4 linked regions of the Drosophila melanogaster genome follow. The protein of the gene in region 4 interacts with the protein of the main gene of each other region in a biochemical or structural test. Each region holds a gene or a part of one and is shown on either strand. Other genes may lie near its edges.

The links.
Region 1: of the proteins of Sumo (region 4) and Aos1, one has a biochemical effect on the other in vitro, tested with the Drosophila melanogaster proteins (one study listed by BioGRID).
Region 2: of the proteins of Sumo (region 4) and dl, one has a biochemical effect on the other in vitro, tested with the Drosophila melanogaster proteins (one study listed by BioGRID).
Region 3: of the proteins of Sumo (region 4) and Ulp1, one has a biochemical effect on the other in vitro, tested with the Drosophila melanogaster proteins (one study listed by BioGRID).

What each region holds. Positions count from the first base shown.
Region 1 is NT_033777.3:12,432,027-12,435,568, reverse strand, and holds Aos1 (activator of SUMO 1), read left to right. Parts: upstream 1-1,746; 5' UTR 1,747-1,837; coding exon 1,838-1,944; intron 1,945-2,011; coding exon 2,012-2,440; intron 2,441-2,496; coding exon 2,497-2,974; 3' UTR 2,975-3,036; downstream 3,037-3,542. Other genes in the region: Srlp (Spliceosome-ribosome linker protein), read right to left, coding at 60-307, 367-1,152, 1,224-1,326; Prosalpha2 (proteasome alpha2 subunit), read right to left, coding at 3,108-3,282, 3,347-3,502.
Region 2 is NT_033779.5:17,447,334-17,452,282, forward strand, and holds the start of dl (dorsal), read right to left. Parts: upstream 3,032-4,949; 5' UTR 2,543-3,031; intron 2,036-2,542; 5' UTR 1,963-2,035; intron 1,178-1,962; exon of another isoform or gene 945-1,177; intron 1-944. UniProt on the Drosophila melanogaster protein: Embryonic developmental transcription factor. The lateral or ventral identity of a cell depends upon the concentration of this protein in its nucleus during the blastoderm stage.
Region 3 is NC_004354.4:19,202,153-19,210,040, forward strand, and holds the start of Ulp1 (Ulp1), read right to left. Parts: upstream 6,036-7,888; 5' UTR 5,882-6,035; intron 5,641-5,881; 5' UTR 5,608-5,640; coding exon 2,921-5,607; intron 2,785-2,920; coding exon 1,912-2,784; intron 1,840-1,911; coding exon 1,675-1,839; intron 1,616-1,674; coding exon 1,414-1,615; intron 1,335-1,413; coding exon 720-1,334; 3' UTR 1-719. Other genes in the region: CG14195 (uncharacterized protein), read right to left, coding at 6,669-6,976, 7,046-7,394, 7,467-7,888.
Region 4 is NT_033779.5:6,966,259-6,969,620, forward strand, and holds Sumo (small ubiquitin like modifier), read right to left. Parts: upstream 1,387-3,362; 5' UTR 1,250-1,386; intron 1,128-1,249; 5' UTR 1,043-1,127; coding exon 770-1,042; 3' UTR 522-769; downstream 1-521.

The sequences.
Region 1 (3,542 bases), on a different chromosome or scaffold from region 4:
TATGTACAAAATTAAATTAAATGATTTGGAACAGATAATTTTGTTTGGATATGGCACAACTACTTTTCGTTTGGCTTATCCTTGGGATCTTTACTATCGACACTTTCAGCCGCACTTTCCTCGGTCTTCTTCGACCTTTTCTGCGCCTTTTCAGCCTGCTTTTGCTTTTCGGCCTCAGCCAGAGCAGCCTCCTGCTCCTGTTTTAGTTTTTCCTTCTGCGCTGCAGCCTCAGCCACTTCCTCATCGTCCCAGTCGGCCATCGAGCGGTCGCGCTTTAGCCACGAATGCGTGGTGTCCGGCTTGAAGGCTGCATGGGAATATAAGGGATTGAGAAAATGTACAGCCACTGGCGCTGGAGAAACTCACTCTGGTTGAACCATTTGATGCCGTTCTGCATGTCCTCGATGATTTCACGGGACGTGAACATCACCTCATTCTGCACCGCCTGGTGGAACGTTGAGGTCTCGAACGTGCTCGAGTAGACCGAGTTGCGATCGTGGATGAGCGCGCGTTGCGGGAACTTGGCCAGACAGGTGGCCAGCTCCAGGGCATTGCCCAAGGCCGTGCCTGTGGGCACAATCCTGTTGACCAGTCCAATGTCGTGGGCCTCCTGGGAGCCCACCGGACGTCCCGTAAGTATCAGGTCCAGGGCACGCGACAATCCAATCATAGCCGGCAGCCGGATGGTGCCGGCATCGAGCATTGGCACTCCAAAGCGTCGATTGAAAAATCCCAGTACTGCGGACTCCTCCATCACGCGCAGATCGCACATGAGAGCCAGCTCCAGACCGTTGGCTATGCAGTAGCCATTGATGCCGCACACGACCGGCTTCTTGATCTGGCGACGCGTGGGACCCACGGAGCCCTCCGGTCGCATCAGGATGTCCACGCTGATCTCCTCCTTCTCGTCGGTGCTAATCTCCAGGATGTCGAAGCCGGAGCAAAAGGAGCCGCCCACGCCGTACAGCACGGCCACCGGCGACGTGTCGTCCGCCTCGAAATTGGCGAAGGCGTCGCAAAGCTGCGATGCAGTAAGCGAATCGATGGCATTACGCTGCTGCGGTCGATTGATGCCGATCAGCGTGATGTTCTTATCCTTTTCCACAAGGATGTTCTTCGGTGGCGCCGCCTCTGCTTCCTGGGTCGCTGGATCTGTAGCGATTGAACGGTTACAACAGTATAAGTCCAAATTATGTCACCGGCTTTTTCGCCGACTTACATACCTTTGTGCAGCGCTTTTGTCGAGGAAAATGTGCGACTCGCGGCGGTGAAACGTGCTTGCTGACCCACCTGCTGGGCCAACAGACCTCCAAATTTGCGAAGCATGATCTAAGCCAAAATGGCAATCAATTATTCTTCACAATGGAGAGCAACAAGCTTAAAGACTTACCGGAAAATTAAATATTGGTCAGATTTCGTAAAAACAATTCGATAGTAATTGTCTTACAGAGCTGCCACCGTTTTGTGGCAATCCTATTGTGTTAGCTTTTTCCCGCTAAACTTGGCTATTTTAAAGCTTGGTTTGCTTGGCGGTAAGTTACAAAATAAATTCACCTCAATTTGTTGTTAGGATGTTATAAAAACTATAGAATAGTATATAGTATAGTATAGTACAGTATAGAAAATTATAAATATTATAATTATAAGTGCTAGATTTTAAGTGCTTTATTTAGTTTTATTCTGTACGTACAAAAACAGTTGGCAGCACTGATTCTGCAAAAGGCGTTTTGGCATTTTCAAAAGGCGTTAGTTTCTTGTTGCGGCGTCTCACTGAAAGTTGTTGCAAGAAATTTGTATTAAGTTGTGAAAAATACATTTTAAACTTGATAAATAAATAATGGTCGTGGATATGGACACCAGCGAGACAGCCGTGGAGCTCACTGAGGCGGAGAACGAGCTGTACGACAGACAAATCCGACTCTGGGGTCTGGAATCTCAGAAACGGTGAGTGCAAAAAAACCGGCATTCCGCAATGGCGCTATAATGCGCTAAAATATATTTTCGATTTAAGCCTTCGCACGGCCAAGATTCTCATCGCTGGACTGTGCGGCCTGGGCGCCGAGATAACCAAGAACATCATCCTGTCCGGAGTGAACTCCGTGAAGCTGCTGGATGACAAGGACGTAACCGAGGAGGACTTTTGTTCACAATTCCTTGTCCCCCGTGAATCGCTGAACACCAACCGGGCCGAAGCATCATTGACACGGGCACGTGCTCTCAATCCCATGGTGGACATCTCCGCCGACCGCGAGCCCTTGAAGGAGAAGACCTCTGAGTTCTTCGGTCAGTTCGACGTTGTGGTGGTCAATGGCGCGACCAACGAGGAACTGTTGCGCATTGACACCATTTGCCGGGACCTGGGCGTCAAGTTCATAGCCACCGATGTGTGGGGCACCTTCGGGTTCTACTTTGCCAGTCTGCAGAAGCACAGCTACGTCGAGTAGGTTCCCTACCTACCATTGCCCATTGCTAACTTAATGTCCACCTTTTTTCCAGGGATGTTATTAAGCACAAGGTCGTAGCCAATTCGGAGAAGAAAAAGAAGTATGAAACCGTGTCCATTCCAACGCAGCGTGATGTGGATTATCCCGGCTACTCTGCCTGGCTTGATTTCGATGTTACCGAGCCTAGTTATTTGCGAAAATTGAAGCGCAATGGCCCGGGTGTTTTGCTATTAAGTGTCCTGCAAAAGTTCCGCACAACCCACAAGCGGGATCCCAGCTACAAGACCCGAGAAGCTGACCTGGAATTGCTTCGCGGAATTCGCGACGAACTGCTGCCCAACTCTATACTGGGCGACGAAGCTCTAGGTCTGATTTTTGCACAGATCTCGCCAGCGGTCGCTGTTGTCGGCGGCGTTGTGGCACAAGAGGTCATCAAGGTGGTTACTAAATTGGAGGCGCCACACCGTAATCTGTTCGTTTTTGACCCAGAGACTTGTGCCGGATACGTTGAGGCCATCGGAGCGAAGTGAATTTACCACAAAGGGCTTATTTATAAAAATCTGAATATCAAATAACACCAGTTGTAAAATTTTATTGGTTTTTTAATGTCCCGTACTTATTAAGAAAGCTTAGCTTGTGGTAATCTTAGCGGGGCGTTTAAGTTTAGGGGATGCTGGCCAAGTAGTCCTTGATTGAGGCGGGGTCCAGACGCTGGAATCCGTTCTGATCGCAGATTCCGATCTCAATGTTGTCGGCAGTCATTTTTCCCTCAAAACCTTCTTTCAGCGTAAGGATGGCGGTGTGAACAGCGTCGTCCAGCTCCAGATCTTCGCTGTAGCTGCAGGTTGATGAAAATATGAGTGACTTGCGACTTTAATTGGTGTACTATTATTGGTACTTACCGCTTCTCCAGGAAAGTTTTGCCGTTCACTGCGTTCTTGCCCATGGCAGTGGCCTTCCAGGCGAAGTAGGCGCCCGAAGGATCGGATTGGTAGAGATACGGACGATCATTGTCCCAGCCGCAGATCAGTAGGGAAACGCCAAAGGGACGAACGCCACTGTTGGTGGGATTGCATACGATTATCTATGGGAACCCAA
Region 2 (4,949 bases), about 10 Mb from region 4:
TTAAGCCATAAAATGAATTAATAAAATAACGTTCTACTCGTTCAACGATAACTACTTTTGGCGAAAAATAAAAAAAAAAGGTAAGTAAACAAAATAAAATGAACATTTCGTTTCGATCATTTAACATGCTAATTTTATGCAATTTCCAATAGCAAAGACACACAGAAAAAAGTTCTTTTGGCGCCAGCACCACAAATTAAGATTAAGATCAACATCAAAGCATCAGAAGCAGCCAAAAATTCCTCAGTGAAACGGGTTCCGCAAAAAAAAAAAAAACAAGAACTCCAGACAGACAAATGTTTTTTAACGATCGTTGGCGTCAAGCAATTTACAGCTCAAATAAAAATAAATAACCGATATGCTGACAAATCGATGGAACTAGTTGCCAAAAGCTATGTTTTGTATCGTATGAATACAAGTCCATTATCCTTATTTTCCACACCAAACAATGTTTGTTAAATTAGCCGATCAGGGATTATTGTGCACATGTGACTTCCGGCAAAAATGCAGATACATATCTTATCCGTATCTCCAATTATAACGGCCACGATCTTTCTTATCGAGTGGTTTAAATGATATTCGCCTAAAATAGAATCCCTATTGATTGATGATTTGCATAGCGGAGGGCCTTACCCACAGCCAGATCGTGTATCAATCATGACTCGGATTTAGCATACGGGGAAACTACCAGTAGATATAACCAATATTATCTATTGACTTGGCCTTAGATCTCTGTTAGCACACAAATCTCTACTCGAGCTTTGTAAATCGCCGATGACTTGCTGGAAACGAGTTGAGCGATTTTAGCGCTTTGATTTTCTTTGGTCCCGGAGACGAGAGTCTGATGTTATGAGTCAGCACACGGTTTGCATTTAACTTGGTTGCACTTTTCGAGTTTACACCGTATTAGCAGCTAAAAGCATTTCTTCATTCTTCATAATTACCTGCGAATCAAACCAAGAACCAGTGAACACTCATGACGAATTCGGTTTCACTTTTTGCTTTTATTTGGGCCACAAAACGCACACTAACCGCAGTTTGTTCTTTCAAAATGGTACTTTTCAAATTATTACTTAAAAATAATATCGAACCGTTAGGGAATTTTAAAAATATTTAATAAAAATAAAAGAATGTTAGCGCAAACACGACCGCAGGCGCATCGAGTCGATCTTAGAATGAAACAATTGAAAACCTCTCCGGCGTATTTGAGTGGCAGCAAAAAATAAATAAATACAAGGGGCAAAAGCTTTTCCACGAGCCCCACCCCCTCTGGGCCCCACGGCCCCCCTCGCCCACCCACGTGCCCGTAAGAAACTTTCATTTATGGCGACGTCGAAAAGCCACTGCGACTGCGCTGCCATGTACACAGGTGTTTCGGTTGTATTATTTAAGTTTATCGTTTGCATTCACCGTAGATTATTTAATACGCAGGTGGATAATTGCCACCCAAAAAACACAACAACAACAACTGCGGTTACACTACAAAGGATTGAATACGTTCTAATAGTTTTTTTTTAACATCTTAACTATTATTTGTCATGCAGAAATTGTGAGCTATTACAAATCTTAGCATCCAGGAATTTTAAACATTGTCAAAATGTTAAAACTATTTAGGATGAAAAATATTAATATGCGAGAAAAGTGACCAGTCTTGGTTTATCAAACCTTAAAAGTGTGAATAATGGTTGATAAATCACGATGTTGTTGCTGTAAACATTGTTCCGAAACGATAAGGCGTCCAATGACTCAATAAGGTTATATTTTTAATATGTTTAATGCAAGATGCGTTTCTTTGTAATGACATTTTGCGTCTTTGGAAGCAATAGTTGTGTACATATTTATTAAAATATCAAGACCCTTCTCGCAAAACGCAGCCATTAGGATTTTCCACCGCACTTTATTAATCCGTGCAATCAATGTTCAGAATCAATAAATTAAGCTAGGCTCTATAGGGGGACTCACCTAAGTCAAGGAGTGATCTGAAATCTCGCTTATATGCATTGATATCACTGGGTTTGCTAAGTAAATCGGACACCTGAAATTCAACGCGAACCAATTAGTACACTTTTATGTACATTATTTGTTAAGTTTCTTATTGTGTTAATTGGAAAATTAGTCCGTTGCACAGCGAGCTAAATAAGCCATTTATTTATAGTTGAGAAATATGGCGCTTTTTTCATGTTAATGTTAACACATACACAAGCACGCACGGCAGGAACCGGTTTATTTATTATTTTTTATATATAAATAATTTATTCTTCCCTCCCTTTCTCACTCACTCTCTCTCTCTCTCTCTTTCTGATTCTTCTTATTTTATTCTTTTTTAACTTTTGCGCGCGCACAAAGCGGGTGCGATAATATCGATAATAACGACAAAAACAACGGATGGGGGAGAACAGTTCGAACAGAAACTAATGAAAAGTTAAGAAATCGAAGTCCGAAGAAAGAGAGAGTGGGCAAAGAGCGCGAGAGAGCGCGTGACGTCGATTTTTTCTAGGGAATTCCGGGCTTTATGCTTATGCGATCATCGACGTACGACTACCTTTTGTTTTTGTTTTTCGATTTATTCGATTTATAATTTAGGGTAATTTGTTATCGCGCTCTGCCCTCCATTTTCTTTGGTTATTCTTGCGATGTTTGTGGTTAAAGTGTCGATGTGCCGTGTAATCTAATCGGTAAACGTTCAGTTTTAATAGAAATTATCAATACGTGCGCCGAGTTTTTTATTTTTGTTTTTTCCTCCGTTATATTGGTGGGTCTCTTTTTTTTGTCACTCGTAATACGAAAAAGCAAGTGAAACTTGCTTAGAGCTCAATTGAATTTATGCGTTTTTATGCAGCTCTTTTACTTTTCGTTTTATTTTTATCTACTGGTATTTCAACCTGCCTTCGAGCTCCAGAAGAGCGAAAGAGAGCGGAAGCTTAAAGCACAGCGAAAAAGGTAAATAAGGCACAATTTGGAGGTGGAGATAAAATACCCGTAACACACGCACTACCAACCGATCTCGACGCCCGCGATTTGAACACTAACTGCCCACCAAGAAGAAACAGGCGAGCCAAACTTTCAATACCGTATGCGCCACTGAAAAATACCGCAAAACTTGCAGATCGCGAAGCTTTCAACGGAGTTAAGTAGTCGGCCCCAAGCTCTGCTCTTTGCAGTCTCGACTTAAGCTCAGAAGAGAGACAATCCGAAGAGCCTAGCTTGGCGAAGAGTGCGAGATCAGCATGTGCTGAGTCACGTACGATTGAAGTTTTCCACTTGCGACTTATAGCTTACAGATGTCCACATCTTCCACAAATCCGAGTTTCGAGGAATACGCGATGATTGCATAAAGGCGAAACAATATATACATACATATAATATAAATGTTTTTATCTGACTGATACCGATTAGTAGGAATGCAGGCCAGTTGTTTCTTTCAAAAGCTTTTAAAATGTGTCACCTTTTAAATCTATAACACGTATTATATTGAAGGAATACCTAATTAATTGAAAATGCATATCTTTTTATTAGGAGCATCCCAAAGGAATCGGAAAATATAAATATTTTGTTTTTCTTAAATATTGAGAATTCAACTGTATGGTAACCAATCATCAAGAATTCGATTTTCAATGTGAGATTCGTTTAAATAGCCGAATATTCCAACTATATATGCATATTTACGAAAAGTAAAATATAAATGGAAAAAATAACTTCCGTCATTTATCTCAGTGTCTTTCACATGTGACTCATCTCCACGAGCGACTGCCTCCGAAAAGCTTTTTCAGCTTTTATGAATGAAACAGCACGGTGAGCACTAACTATCTGTGTGTGTGGCTGCGAGCTATCCATTTAAGACCCCACTCCCACCCATGCGGTTGGGGGGTCTGAATCAGCGTACGATTCCTGGAAAAAGGATAATATCCTGCGCCGGCATTTGTTGTGGCATTAATTTCCACTGCGGCAGAGTCTCAATGCCGTGACTCACTTGCTTCGTGCTCAGCATTCCGGAGCAGCTTTCACTTTCCGGGCGGAGGACCTCTGACATTCAAGACGGCTTGTTACGCGGAATTTGATAATATTGCTGATTCACCTTCTGGGGAAATGGGGGTCAGTACAGTTGATAATTGAATACATCGCTTAAAAAGTGGTCGCACGTTAGATAAGGATTTTTATGTTTTGGGTTTTTCAGCTAATTAAACCAAATTATTAAATATGAACGATGAATAGAAAATATAATTGTCACATTATTTGGAAAACGAAATATTATCAGTTTGAAATACATGCGAAAGAACCAGGTAGTATTTTTATAATTTCATGACAAAATTACAAATAAGTACTAAATGTTCCTATTTTATTACTGTGAAAAATTTATAAGTAAATAAGAATAAAAATAATATTAATTAAAGTTGGATGGTCGGTGACACAAAATCCACATGCTTAAGTTCTTCCCAATACTACGTACATATGCATAAAAAAGGACTTTCCGCCATTATCGTAAATCGTTATCAAAACCACACTGGCACGAAGGTCATGCCACCTGGTAAACATACATACATACATAAGTGCACGTGAGCTAAGCGCAAATAAATAGGAATTATGTCAAATGTTAGTATTGAAATTCCACATCAATTGCCATCGCCGCCCGTGGAATTGGAGTGGGGGAATTGCGGGACTAAGTCAACTCGCAATGTCTTGATGGCACGAACGTAGAACAACAACCCGGTTAATGGAGTCCAGACATCGATCAAACAATGGTGAATGGAGAAGCTCCCACTCCCACAAGGCCGGCAACCAATTGCAGCGGGTTTTCCACGAAAATCACGCGATATTCGTCCAGTCCCGCGAGGTAATTTTTAATGGATCCTGCCCCCTTATAAGCTGACACGTGCTGGGGCAGTCATTTTCATGTACATACACATATGTACATTTGCACCCCGTGTATACGACATTATTGATTTTTTCCG
Region 3 (7,888 bases), on a different chromosome or scaffold from region 4:
AAATTATATTACATTATGTACCTTAGGTTATGAAAGGTGTACTACTTCCTAAGGGTTAGAGAAAATCTTTACAAAAACAAAACTAATACCATTAACCCACATTTACCTATATTTGTATAATAAGTATTTGCTTGAATAAGCTACATTTTCAAAAATACTAAATTAAGATTGATTCCTTATTAATATTATCTAATTTATAGGAATATAGCGACATTTTCTTTAAAAAAAAAAAAACCGATAAATTCAAAAATAAACTGGAGTATTAGTATGATTTTCAATTATCAGCGGCTCTGATCTTTTCAACTTAACGATATGAAACAGAAAAGACAATGTAAGAAAAAAATATGAAATCCAGTAATTCCTAGTTTAGAGTTAGGATTAGAGCAGTACATTACATTACATTAGTACATATTCATAGCTTGCTGTATTCTAAATATTAATTATAAACTTGAAGATATTCGGCGATTAATACATCCTTATTCGCATCGCTTTTACTTGGTGACATTTTATTGAAGAAATAGATTCTCTTTTACAATCAGATATGAGAACAAGTTAATGCACCAGCAGGGGTCTCAGCCATCTCGATTCTATCGAATAAACGAGTTCGTTCGATGGCTAAGTACTTGTCGCGAATTCATGCTTGGAGTGTTTACGTAAGATTTGTAAAAATAAGTAAAGAACTGAATTCTCCATTTTTGCGTAGTTTTGTGCTTGAACCCCTACTGCCACAACTTTCCGTCGGCGATTTCCAGGGCCATCTTCGTGCGGAAGTACAACATTTCCGCCTGGGAGAAGGTAATCGGAACATCACGCGTTATATACTCGGCGAACATGCAGCTGAAGACACCGCAATCGCTGCTATTCCCTTGACGTGGTATATTCTGCGCGTTCTCGACAACGAAACCGGTCATATCAAACGGCTGTTTGCGCTTGTCTAGTGACTCTTCGTGCAGATATTTAACTAGAGCATCAAGCGCCGGTTGGTTTGGTCTTCCCATTGAGTCGTAATAGAAGATTGTCTTGTTACGCAAGTGTATGATGGCCATGCACCAGTGGACGTTGCCGCAGTGCACTGGCACCGGTATTATGTCCTTGCTGAACAAGTCCACTTTGCGAGTCCAGCGCCTAACGCCTGCATACCCAGCTTGCAGGAGACGGGGCATGAAGAATGTGTTCATGGCGTAAGTGGCGGGAAGTTCGCCAGCTCGCTTCTCCGAGCGTTCCGTCAGCATGGACATGTAAAAGTTGATGATCGCGTCGTTAAGCCATTCGCCATCAACAAACGTGAATATGTCGTCGGTAGTTATTTGTAGGTTATATTTGAAAATTAAGTTCTGAAATAAGATTTTAAAGCGCAAGCATATAAACGTTTTAAATGGGTACACATATAAATAAATAAATATATTCGTTTACCGTCGTAACCTCAATAGTTGTCATTTCTTGAAAGCGAGCGTGGTCCTCCTTTGTTAGCGGAATGAGCTTGGTCTCTTTCTTCTCTTCCGGCTGTTCCAGGGGCCCGATTTCAAAAAAGGGCCGGTGGGGAGCACCAGACCGGAACATGACTTCCCGCAGCTTTTTTTCATAGGCAAGGCGTTCATCTTTGCTTTCATTAGCCCTAAAATTGGAAAAAAGCCTCTTGGTACTGGGCCTAATTATAGCGTTACAAATACTTACTGCTGTTCAGCTATTCCAAGAAGATGCATGGATTCAAGTTGCCGGCGATTCGCTCTTGCTTTGAAATTTTCCGCAAAGTCATTCCTTAGAAAGATACAGTTGGCAAAGCGACGGTGCAAGAAGTCTGGTTTCTTGATTCTGGTAGTTGTAGGTTGAGGTGCGTCACTAATTGGTGATAAAATCAGGATTTTTGATTATTGCAAATTATTTACGTTTGGATATAAAGCATTTATTTACTTTTCCTTGGTTTCGTTGGCTTCGTTGGCTTCGTTGGCCTCGTTGGCTTCGTTGGCTTCCTTGACCTCCGGGCTATCTTTAACCAACATTGGCTCAGTGTCAGAAGATGAGCAAGTTGAACAAGTGCTGCAGGAGGAAGATGCGCTGCTGGAAATAGTGGACGCATGGCTGGCAGAGCTATTGCTAGCGTTTCGCTTTGGCTGCTGTGGTGCCGGAGACCTGTTCTCCTCATTCTCCTGGCGGTTGATCAATTTGGCGTACTCCGTTAGCTCAGGGTTCGCACGGCCATGTGGCGACGGGAACGAATCTGTTATATTCGATTGGTTGTCTTGCAGTGAGCAGCTGCTACTGGTTGCCGACTGGGCTTTAGCCCGCTGAAACGTTGGCGGGGTACCCGGCTTGAGGTAGCGACTGCCCACGTAATTTGTTTGGGTACGGATAAGTTCGTTATACTGCTCTTGATCCTTGCAGTTCATCTCGTGGGACAGAATGCTTCTGTGCAGCCGAGACGGTTCTCTGCGCACCGTATGGCTGGAGTGCCCATTTACGCGCGACTCGGAGATGCCATTATGGCCTAGACGCACCGCATCCGAGTAAGTCATGGGCCTGGATGATGGGCCCGCGTTAGCAAGTCTCTGTGACGACTCCTCATCGTCAAATGGCGTAGGTACGTGGGGGGCATCATTGCGCACTCGGTGCTGCGTGTATACCGGCGGATTAAATATTGAGAGCCGCTTTGAGCTCTGGGGCTGATCCCGCTTGGCCATCGAATTGTTGGGAATCAGGTCCTCGGCCGTCTCATTCGTTATCAAGCGGGGAAAGCTGTTGTCCACACGCCGGTACTTGATCAGACGAGGGTTCTCTTCTTGGTTGCTGAAAGTAGAGAAAAAACATTAATTGAAATTTTTACATGGGAGTAGCAATGAATGACATAAAATTGTTGCGCAGGCTTACCTAGTTGGATTTAGGTAAACAAAATTAAAAATAACATAAAATTCTTAATGCTTACCGTCTTTTCTGGGATAAAAAACTATTTTCCGGCTGGCGGCCGGCACCAAAACCTTTTCCGTTTTGAGCCTGGAATCCCGTTCCGGTATCCGTGGAGTCCGTTTCGCTTTCTCTGGAAGAATACCAACCGGATAGCATACCACGGATCTTTTTTAATATTTCTAAGCCCATCGAAATGTCTTCTTGGAGGTCTCTTTTCGGCGTGGGGCGTGGAGGTATTTCCTTAGTTTGCTCGAGAATCTCTCTCAGAATGGAGATGATCTCATCGGTGGCCCGGCCGTGTATAATTTCGGTTAGAACCTTATGGCACACATCGGCTAGCTTCTGGCGGAGAAGGAAAATTGACTTCCGGTGGGCTTCGGCTTCGGGTTGCTCTGGATCGGCCACCAGACTTTCAGAGATATCGCGAATTAGATTGAAGGTTTTGCGAATACAAATAGTGCTCGGATCGAGTGACTCTAGCTGCTCCCAATGTTCAGGTGAAACGGGGTCTGATATATCTTCTGAAGTAGATCCTGGTTGAGCTTCAGCGGGCGGTAATGGTGTCGAGACCTCATCAACAAAGTTCTGATGCTCGTGGCCTGTGTAACTAACCAGTTCTCTGTCCCGTTGGCCTTCGTTTACCTCGTATGCTGGTTGAACCTCAAAACTGTTTTCCTGGGATATTTCCAATTGAGGTACGTACGGAGTCGCAGTTTGTATAGTTTGTATATACTGGACCTTAGAATAAGCCTGGTTAGAGTGGATGGTGAATTCCTGCTGAATATACTGCCTCTCTTGGATATGATCTTTCTGACCTTTCTGCTGGTATTCAGAAAAGGGCTGCAACTTTCTCTTTTTGACCTTAGATTCGAACTGGTGGGTTTGCTTCTGGATCTGTGGTACACTCAGCTGATCTTGCTTCTGGAGCTGGAATTGTTGGTTCCCCTCAAAATTCAGGTAATGTTGATCTTCCTCTTGGTCTTCCGGTGTTAACTGCTCGTTTTCCTCCTGGATGTATGTTGCGAACGGGATGTCGGTTACATTGTGATAATTTTGTTTGTGAGTGTCAGTAACAATCTGCAGATCTCGCTTCTCGATTTCAGATGCGAACTGGAACCTTTCCTTTTGGAGCTCGGCTGTTTGTTGATCTTGCTCCTGATTATCAGATGCGAACTTTAGATCTTCATTATCATAATGGATCTCGATTACGAACTGAGGACTTTGTTGGTTTTTCTCCTGGATTTCAGGTATAGTGTGCAGATCATCAGATTCGAACTTTAGATCTTCATCATCGTCATCCTGGATCTCGATTACGGACTGAGGACTTTGTGCCTGTATATCAGTAACAGAAGGAGATGCAAGCTTCGTAACTTCGGTTACGATCTGCTGGTTTTGCTCCTGAATCTCAGCAGAAAACGAGAGATTTTCCCATTGGATTTCGGAGACAGCCGAGTAATCCTCCTGGGTCTCGGTTATAGTCTGATGATTTTGCTCTTCAGTTACAATCTGGTGATTTTGCCCTTGAATATCAGACGAGGTCTGGAAAACGTTCACTTGGATTTCGGGGGCAGTCTGGTGAACTTCCTCCTGGATCTCCGTTACAGACTGGTGATTTTGCTCCTGGATCTCTATTACAACCTGAGGACTTTGTACCTGTATATCAGTAGTGACAGGAGATGCAATCTGAAGACATTTCTCTGGGATCTCGGTTAATGTCTGTTGGTTCTGGTCCTGAATCTCAGAGGCACGCGTGAGATTTTTTTCTTGGACTGCAAGGACAATCTGGTTTTCATCCCGGATCTCAGTTAAAGTCTGATCCTGAGCCTCAGTTGCAATCGGATGATTTTGTTCCGAGATGCCATTTTCAAATTTCTGATCTTGCTCCTGGATATTATTGATTTGAATTTCGGGGACAACCTGGTGGAATTGCTCCTGGCTCTCAGTTATAGTCTGGGGATTGTGCTCCACGATATGTAATATAATCGGTTGATTATTCTCGGAGGCCTGATCGCATAGTTGGATTCCCGTTCCTATATGAATGTTTTGTTGATATAGGACTGGCTGATTGTTGTACTGCTGGACATAATATGCGACCTGGTTGTTTTGGTCAAGATCGATCAGGGCATCAACTGTAAGGGTGATGGTCGGTAGTGATGGTGGTTCTGGCAAGGGGGATGGAAATCGCAGTCTTATCGGCGAATCTATCAATGGACAATTTTGCAGCTCATGGAGTTGATGTATTGGCGATCCATCTGGAGAGTAACGCTGATTCGGAACTGGGACACACCGCGGCAGCAGCGGCGAGTAGTTCTGGCTAGGGAACGTAAATCGTGAATCCCCTGGCGGGGAACAATACGCATTAGTGTTCAATGTCTCGAATGCCTGTTCAGTTGGCAATAAGTGCGATGTCGGGAGACCTTGGTTCTCCGCCCATAGGAGTTGTGTTGCTGTGGCGTTGGCTGCTGCTTCTTCCGATCCTCTTGGCGCTACTGACGGATTACCCCAACTTGGAAACGTGCTGCGGCGTGAGTCCACATGAGACGCGACGCGCTCAATCACGTTCGGGTGAGCTGCTGGCGACGGCGAAAATCGCTGTCCTACTGCCGAACCGACTACTCGTGCTGCCGACACATTGCTCGCGATTTGGAGTGCGGATTCGTATGCGGAATTTGTGGACAAATCGGTGTCCTCGGGAGGCAGCGACATGCGTGTGTTCGCTACCGCTTTCGCTACTTTTAGCTGCAAATTGAAATTTAATCAGAAATTATTTTTCCACACGCATTCGCTTTCAAGAATCGCAAGAAGAAGAATAAGCAAAAAAGGAAAACGAGCCGGCAAAAAGGAAGCCCGATTTTGCGCATTTTTCGCTGTTTTTCGCCGTCTTTGCTTGGTGCCACTTCTGCGGCCGCCGGAAAATGCCGACGCTGCTATTGCACCGCACTGAGTGCCACACCACAAGCGCCTTGCAACAAACACTTACCCCTTGGCCAGGTTTTAAACAATGTACACTTTTCACTGTGACTTGAGAAAATTTTCGCAACTTAGCTCGATGAAAATTGAGTAAAGAAAGAAAATTTCGGTTTTGGCGTACTGGTGCCTTAGTATGACCGTACAAGATATTGCTCTATAATACCAAACCAATCGATATCGGCCAACAGTGTTGGGTCTGGCTGCCGCATCATAGCAGGCAGCTTTCGTCACGCAGCGAATGTAATTACCTAGAAATATCTGAGGAAATAACGGCATTTAGTCTTACTGTAAAAATACGACAAATTCGGTGAAAAGGGAAATTTTTCGTCAATATTTTCCAATAATATTTCAATATTTTCAATATTTCTTACACAGCGAATTTTGTAAGAACATGCATTTTTTTTAGTGTGCGACAGATTTCTAAAAAATTGAACCAATCTCTAGAATGAACGCAACATTTTATACTTTTAAACTTATTTTAATCGGAAAAAAACTGTCCACATTTCCAAAGTACAGTAGTCAGCACAGCTTAATGGAAAAATAGCTAAAAGGCTATAGCTACTTCTGTAGCAGTTCTTTAGGGATATTTTAAAGGCCAGCATTCCATTCTTTTTTCAAATTGACGTAATAAGACTTTTAAGACTTATGTTAAAATGTATGTAGCTTGCTTATAGTTTATATATTTATTTATTAATATCACTGCACAAATACAACAACAACGTCAGCCACAGCAGCACACACACACACACACATACACGATGCCTTGTTGTGTGAGAGTGCGCGAATTCTTCAGTCCCTCAATCCTTGCTCTGGCAGCAGAAGAAGAGGAAGTTCCAGAGCAGCGTGGTAGTTCCGTAAAGGGCGCCGGCCAGTCCCACGGTGGCCTGGAAGGAGTACCGCTCCACCACCCAGTGGGCCAGCGCGCCCCAGAGGAGAACCAGCAGGCCGTTGGTGAAGTGCACCGGACGGCGGATGGCCGTCCAGTTGGCCCGCGTCATGCCCATCTGGAAGACCAGCTCCTGCAGAAAGGCGGTCACCACCTGGCCAAATCCCAGCAGCACGGCGGACACACTGAGCAGCAGCTTGGAGGTGGAGAAGCTGATGACTGGAAGCGAAACAAAAGATGGATCTATTGATGGCCCGGGGAAAGCTTGAAACGGGTATCATGACTCACAGATCAGCGCCAGGCACTTGCAGATGCTGCCCAGCGTGTGCCACTGGAGCTTCCGCTTATAGAGGCTCGTGCCGAAGCGCGGAGTCATCAGGGAGAAGCACATCCATGGGAAGGCCAGCAGCGAGAAGAGGAACGGGATCTCGGCGTTCTTCAGCGCATGGTGGCTGACCGCCAGTCCGGGTAGCACCGTCAGGCACATCACGTAGCTAAAGATGTCCGCCGAGAGGAGCAGCGTGGTGGCGTACAGCTGCGGCACCAGCAGCGCCTGCTGCAGCGGCATGGCGATCTTGTCCAGCAGATTCCACCACAGGTGCGTGGTTACCGCACGCGACATCCGCCGGATGCGGCGCTGAAAATGAGGAGCATACGGAAAGGTTTCACATCCGGTCACCATATTCCACAAAGCCTGCGCACTACTCACCAGGTTGGCATAATCGGGAGGTAGGGGTGAGGAGCTACCTGTACCAGTTCCCGTTCCTGTGCCCAAAGGATGCTGGGGCGTCAGTGGATAGAGACGTCCATTGGACAGGGACTTGTGCGACATCTGCGAGGCGGACATGGCATAATTGTCGATGGTCGCATTGCTCGACCGCATCATGGACACCGTCTCGTCCTCCTCGGGTATGATCTCCATAATCTCCACCCCGTTGGGATTCACATACGTCACATACGCCTCATCGGTGGCCAGCATGTAGTTGCTGTGCGTGTCCACCACCACAGCGGCGGCGACGGCACCACTGGGCGTGGCCATTTCGGTGGTGGCCGGATTCCGCCATGAGAGCGTGTCCAATCCGTCCAGCTGGTCCGCCACCAAGTTGGCCGCCAGTGCGGCTCGCAGCGGCA
Region 4 (3,362 bases):
ATCATAGTTTTTTTTTACACAACTGTACCTTTGAAAATTTAAGCACATACGCACATACATCATGAATGGTATGTATGTATACATGGTATACATACACAATCATCATGTATGGCTTGGCTTTCACAAACACACAAGCGTATTACTAGATCCCAATTTTGAGGTTATAGTTACCTCTATGTAATTTCCAGAAGGTTCTCAAAACTGACGTCATTTTTTTTTCTTGTTCAAATTTGAGGTTATGTTTTCCCAGACTTCGCAAATTCGCAGGCGTATATGTATGCTTGTACTTTTCCCGCAAATTCAGTGTTCTCCGATGTGTATGTATATCAATTTGCACGCACACACGCGCACTGGACCCAGTCCTGCTCGCACACAGACGTGCCATGCCAATGACAGTGTGTGTGCGTGCTGTTTAGAAAGAGGGTCACAAAGCGGGAAATTCGCACCGGCTTTTCGTTGCAGAAGGGCAAAAACAAACGCCGATCAGGCGCAGGAATAAATAGCGAAAGACGGCAAATTTTGTGTAGTTTATAAAATGCTTTATTTACCATTTTCTTGTCTGCAAATGTTTTTGTTATTTACGCACACAGACGCATTTAGAATCTACAGTTGTACTAAAAGCATATTCAATCGATTCTTAGGGCCTGGTTTGTTGGATTCTTCATGTTGTTGTTGTTGTGTTTTTGCTTTTGTGGTTTTTCTTGTATTTTTTTCTTTTTCGTTTTAAGTGTGTAGTTGTAAGAGGAGTAACTAACTTAACTAAGTAATCTTATGGAGCGCCACCAGTCTGCTGCTGGTAAACCTCGATGGTGTCGCCCTCCTCCATCTCCAGCGAGGTCGGAGTGTCGTTCTCGTTGATGGGCTGTCCGTCGAAACGGAAGCGCACCACCTGCATGGAGAGTCCGGCACGGTCGCAGTAGGCGTTCATCAGCTTCCTCAAGGGTGTGTGCTTCTTGATCTTGAACTGGACGACGGCGTTGTCCTGGCCGAGGACCTTCAGGTTGATGTGCTCGGTCTCACCTCCCTTCTTTTCGTCAGACATGTTGATTTTTTGGTTGCTTGTTGAAGCTGCTAAGTGGTCAAAAAAGTTTTTTTTTTCTTTTGCGGAGCGTCGAATGCCGGGCGTGCTGTACGAAAAAAAACGAGGCAAAATGTCCAATTAAGTACGCGGAAATTGGTAAACCACACGTAAAAACTAAGCACAATACCGCGGGGCAGCAACTAATCGCGTAGAAATGCAAAAATTTACCTGATTTCCTCAAATTCAGTGCTTGCTGATGGAAGTTGAAATTTATCACAAGCGGCTTCCTTTTGCTTCTGCTACAGCTACACGCCAAAAAAACTGGTGCTGGACCTACCTCGTTAACTTTTGCGATACTATCGGTGTGTATCGATACACGATAGGTAGTCGATAGATTCGCCAGCAACCATCCATTATTGTCACTGTTTCGGTTTTCGGTCACGTTTTTCCTAACAAGTAATTTTGATATATGCCGAAAAGAAAAAATATTCAAACAATTGGACTAAAAAATGTAATGCTAAGCACGCAATCGATTTAAATAGCATTTAAAGCATATTAGAGAGTCAATATATATGTTTAATATAAATATGAATGTTAATATTTAAATAGAAGCATAAGTATTGGGATGGTTCGTAAAGATGAATATTACGGAAAATTAAAAAAAAAGTGATATGAGAATTGCAATTCAAGCAATATCTATACCCATAATTAATTCACATTACTTGTTAGCCAATGTGAGCAGGGCCACATCAAATTATTTAACTATCGGCGAACATAATTGAATTTTTCGAGTTGCTTGTAGGCCAGTGTACGCAGGGCAGCATACAAATATTTAACTATCGGGTACTCAATGGCAAAGGGAATCGAATTAAAGAAAGGCAGAATAATAAGTTACTGGGTAGTTTTTTGTAGCATTCGACAAGATTACGGCTAAAGTTTATATTCGCATGCAAAATACAGTTAGAATATTCCAGTTTCTTTATGTTGCTGAGATAGCAGTCAATTATATCGATATGTCGCCTATTGATATACGCAGTATGCCATTTTAGAAGCAAAGGTAGCGATCAGCTGATACCCATTACTCGTAATATAACTGGGTACATAGGTACTTATCGGGTTGGAATGAAAAATGCTTGCTATTGATATTCAATGTTTCATCCTTGAAATTAGTCCCTTTTACTTTAACATTTTCTATCATATCCGCTTATAATAATTTGCGACATATGTGAATGTTTTCCAATAGAGGTCGCATTTAATGTCCATAGATTTCACAATGCTTTATTTGCAACAAATGTATACATTTTTAAAGAGATTCCAAGGACGCCACTGCAAATCTTCTTATCCAGGACATATAGACCAGTTTAACAAGCGAAAATTGTAAAAAATTCAAGTCATCTTGATAAATACTTAGAAATGAAACAAGTACTTTTTCGTGTAAGGAGGAATTCTTTTCTTTATTTGATCAAATCTAAATGTGACATTGATCTCTGTCCGCTTTTCTTAATAATGGTGTAATAGGAAAAATGCCCTGCTACACAATAGTTTGTTTCCCGTATGTCGCACGGTACGAAAAGGCAATTGCATGGATCCTGTCTGCCAAACAATACAATACAAAAATAAAAGACCCCCAGAATTTTGTCACCGTCCGCAATCCAAAGTGGAGGCTAACCAGCTCGAAAGACCCCTGACCTGACCAACCACAACCAATCGTTACCAGTTACCAAAAGCAAACCTTTGCGCAGTTTTCTGTTTGTTCTATGCGAGTTTCCGCCGCGGATTCGTCTTCAGTACGATAACAATCAGCTCAACGTACATGAAAAGATCGAAATGGTAAATTGGTTACAGACATAATGGATGAATGGAGTAGATTGCCACAGGCCATCGGAGCAGTTCGCAATGTGTACCAAACAGAGGAAAGCTCCCTTACACTAACTCACTCATCCATCCGATCCACGGCGGTTAGGCGAGGATATCGTAATCTTACCGGGGCAAACTTACGGAAAAGGTTTTGGTTTACAAAATTTCTTAGCCCGGAATCAACTTACACGCCACACCACCACACAACACAGGCAACCTAGAGCGGAGGAGATTGGAAAAGTATTGCGGTAGCTGTCTTGATTCTAGAGCTGTCCTAGAACGGTAGACGCATGGATTAGTGAGGTTTGTGCGTAGACCAAATTACCTGATGTGGGCTTGGAATTTAGACTTGGGCATGGGCTACGAATACTGGCGGAACTAATTTTCGTTTTTGGATTACTGTTTGTTTGATTAAATACTTATGCTTTTGCTTTCACACTAGTCAGAGTCAGATTTTCAATTGATTGAAAACTGCAAAAAAACA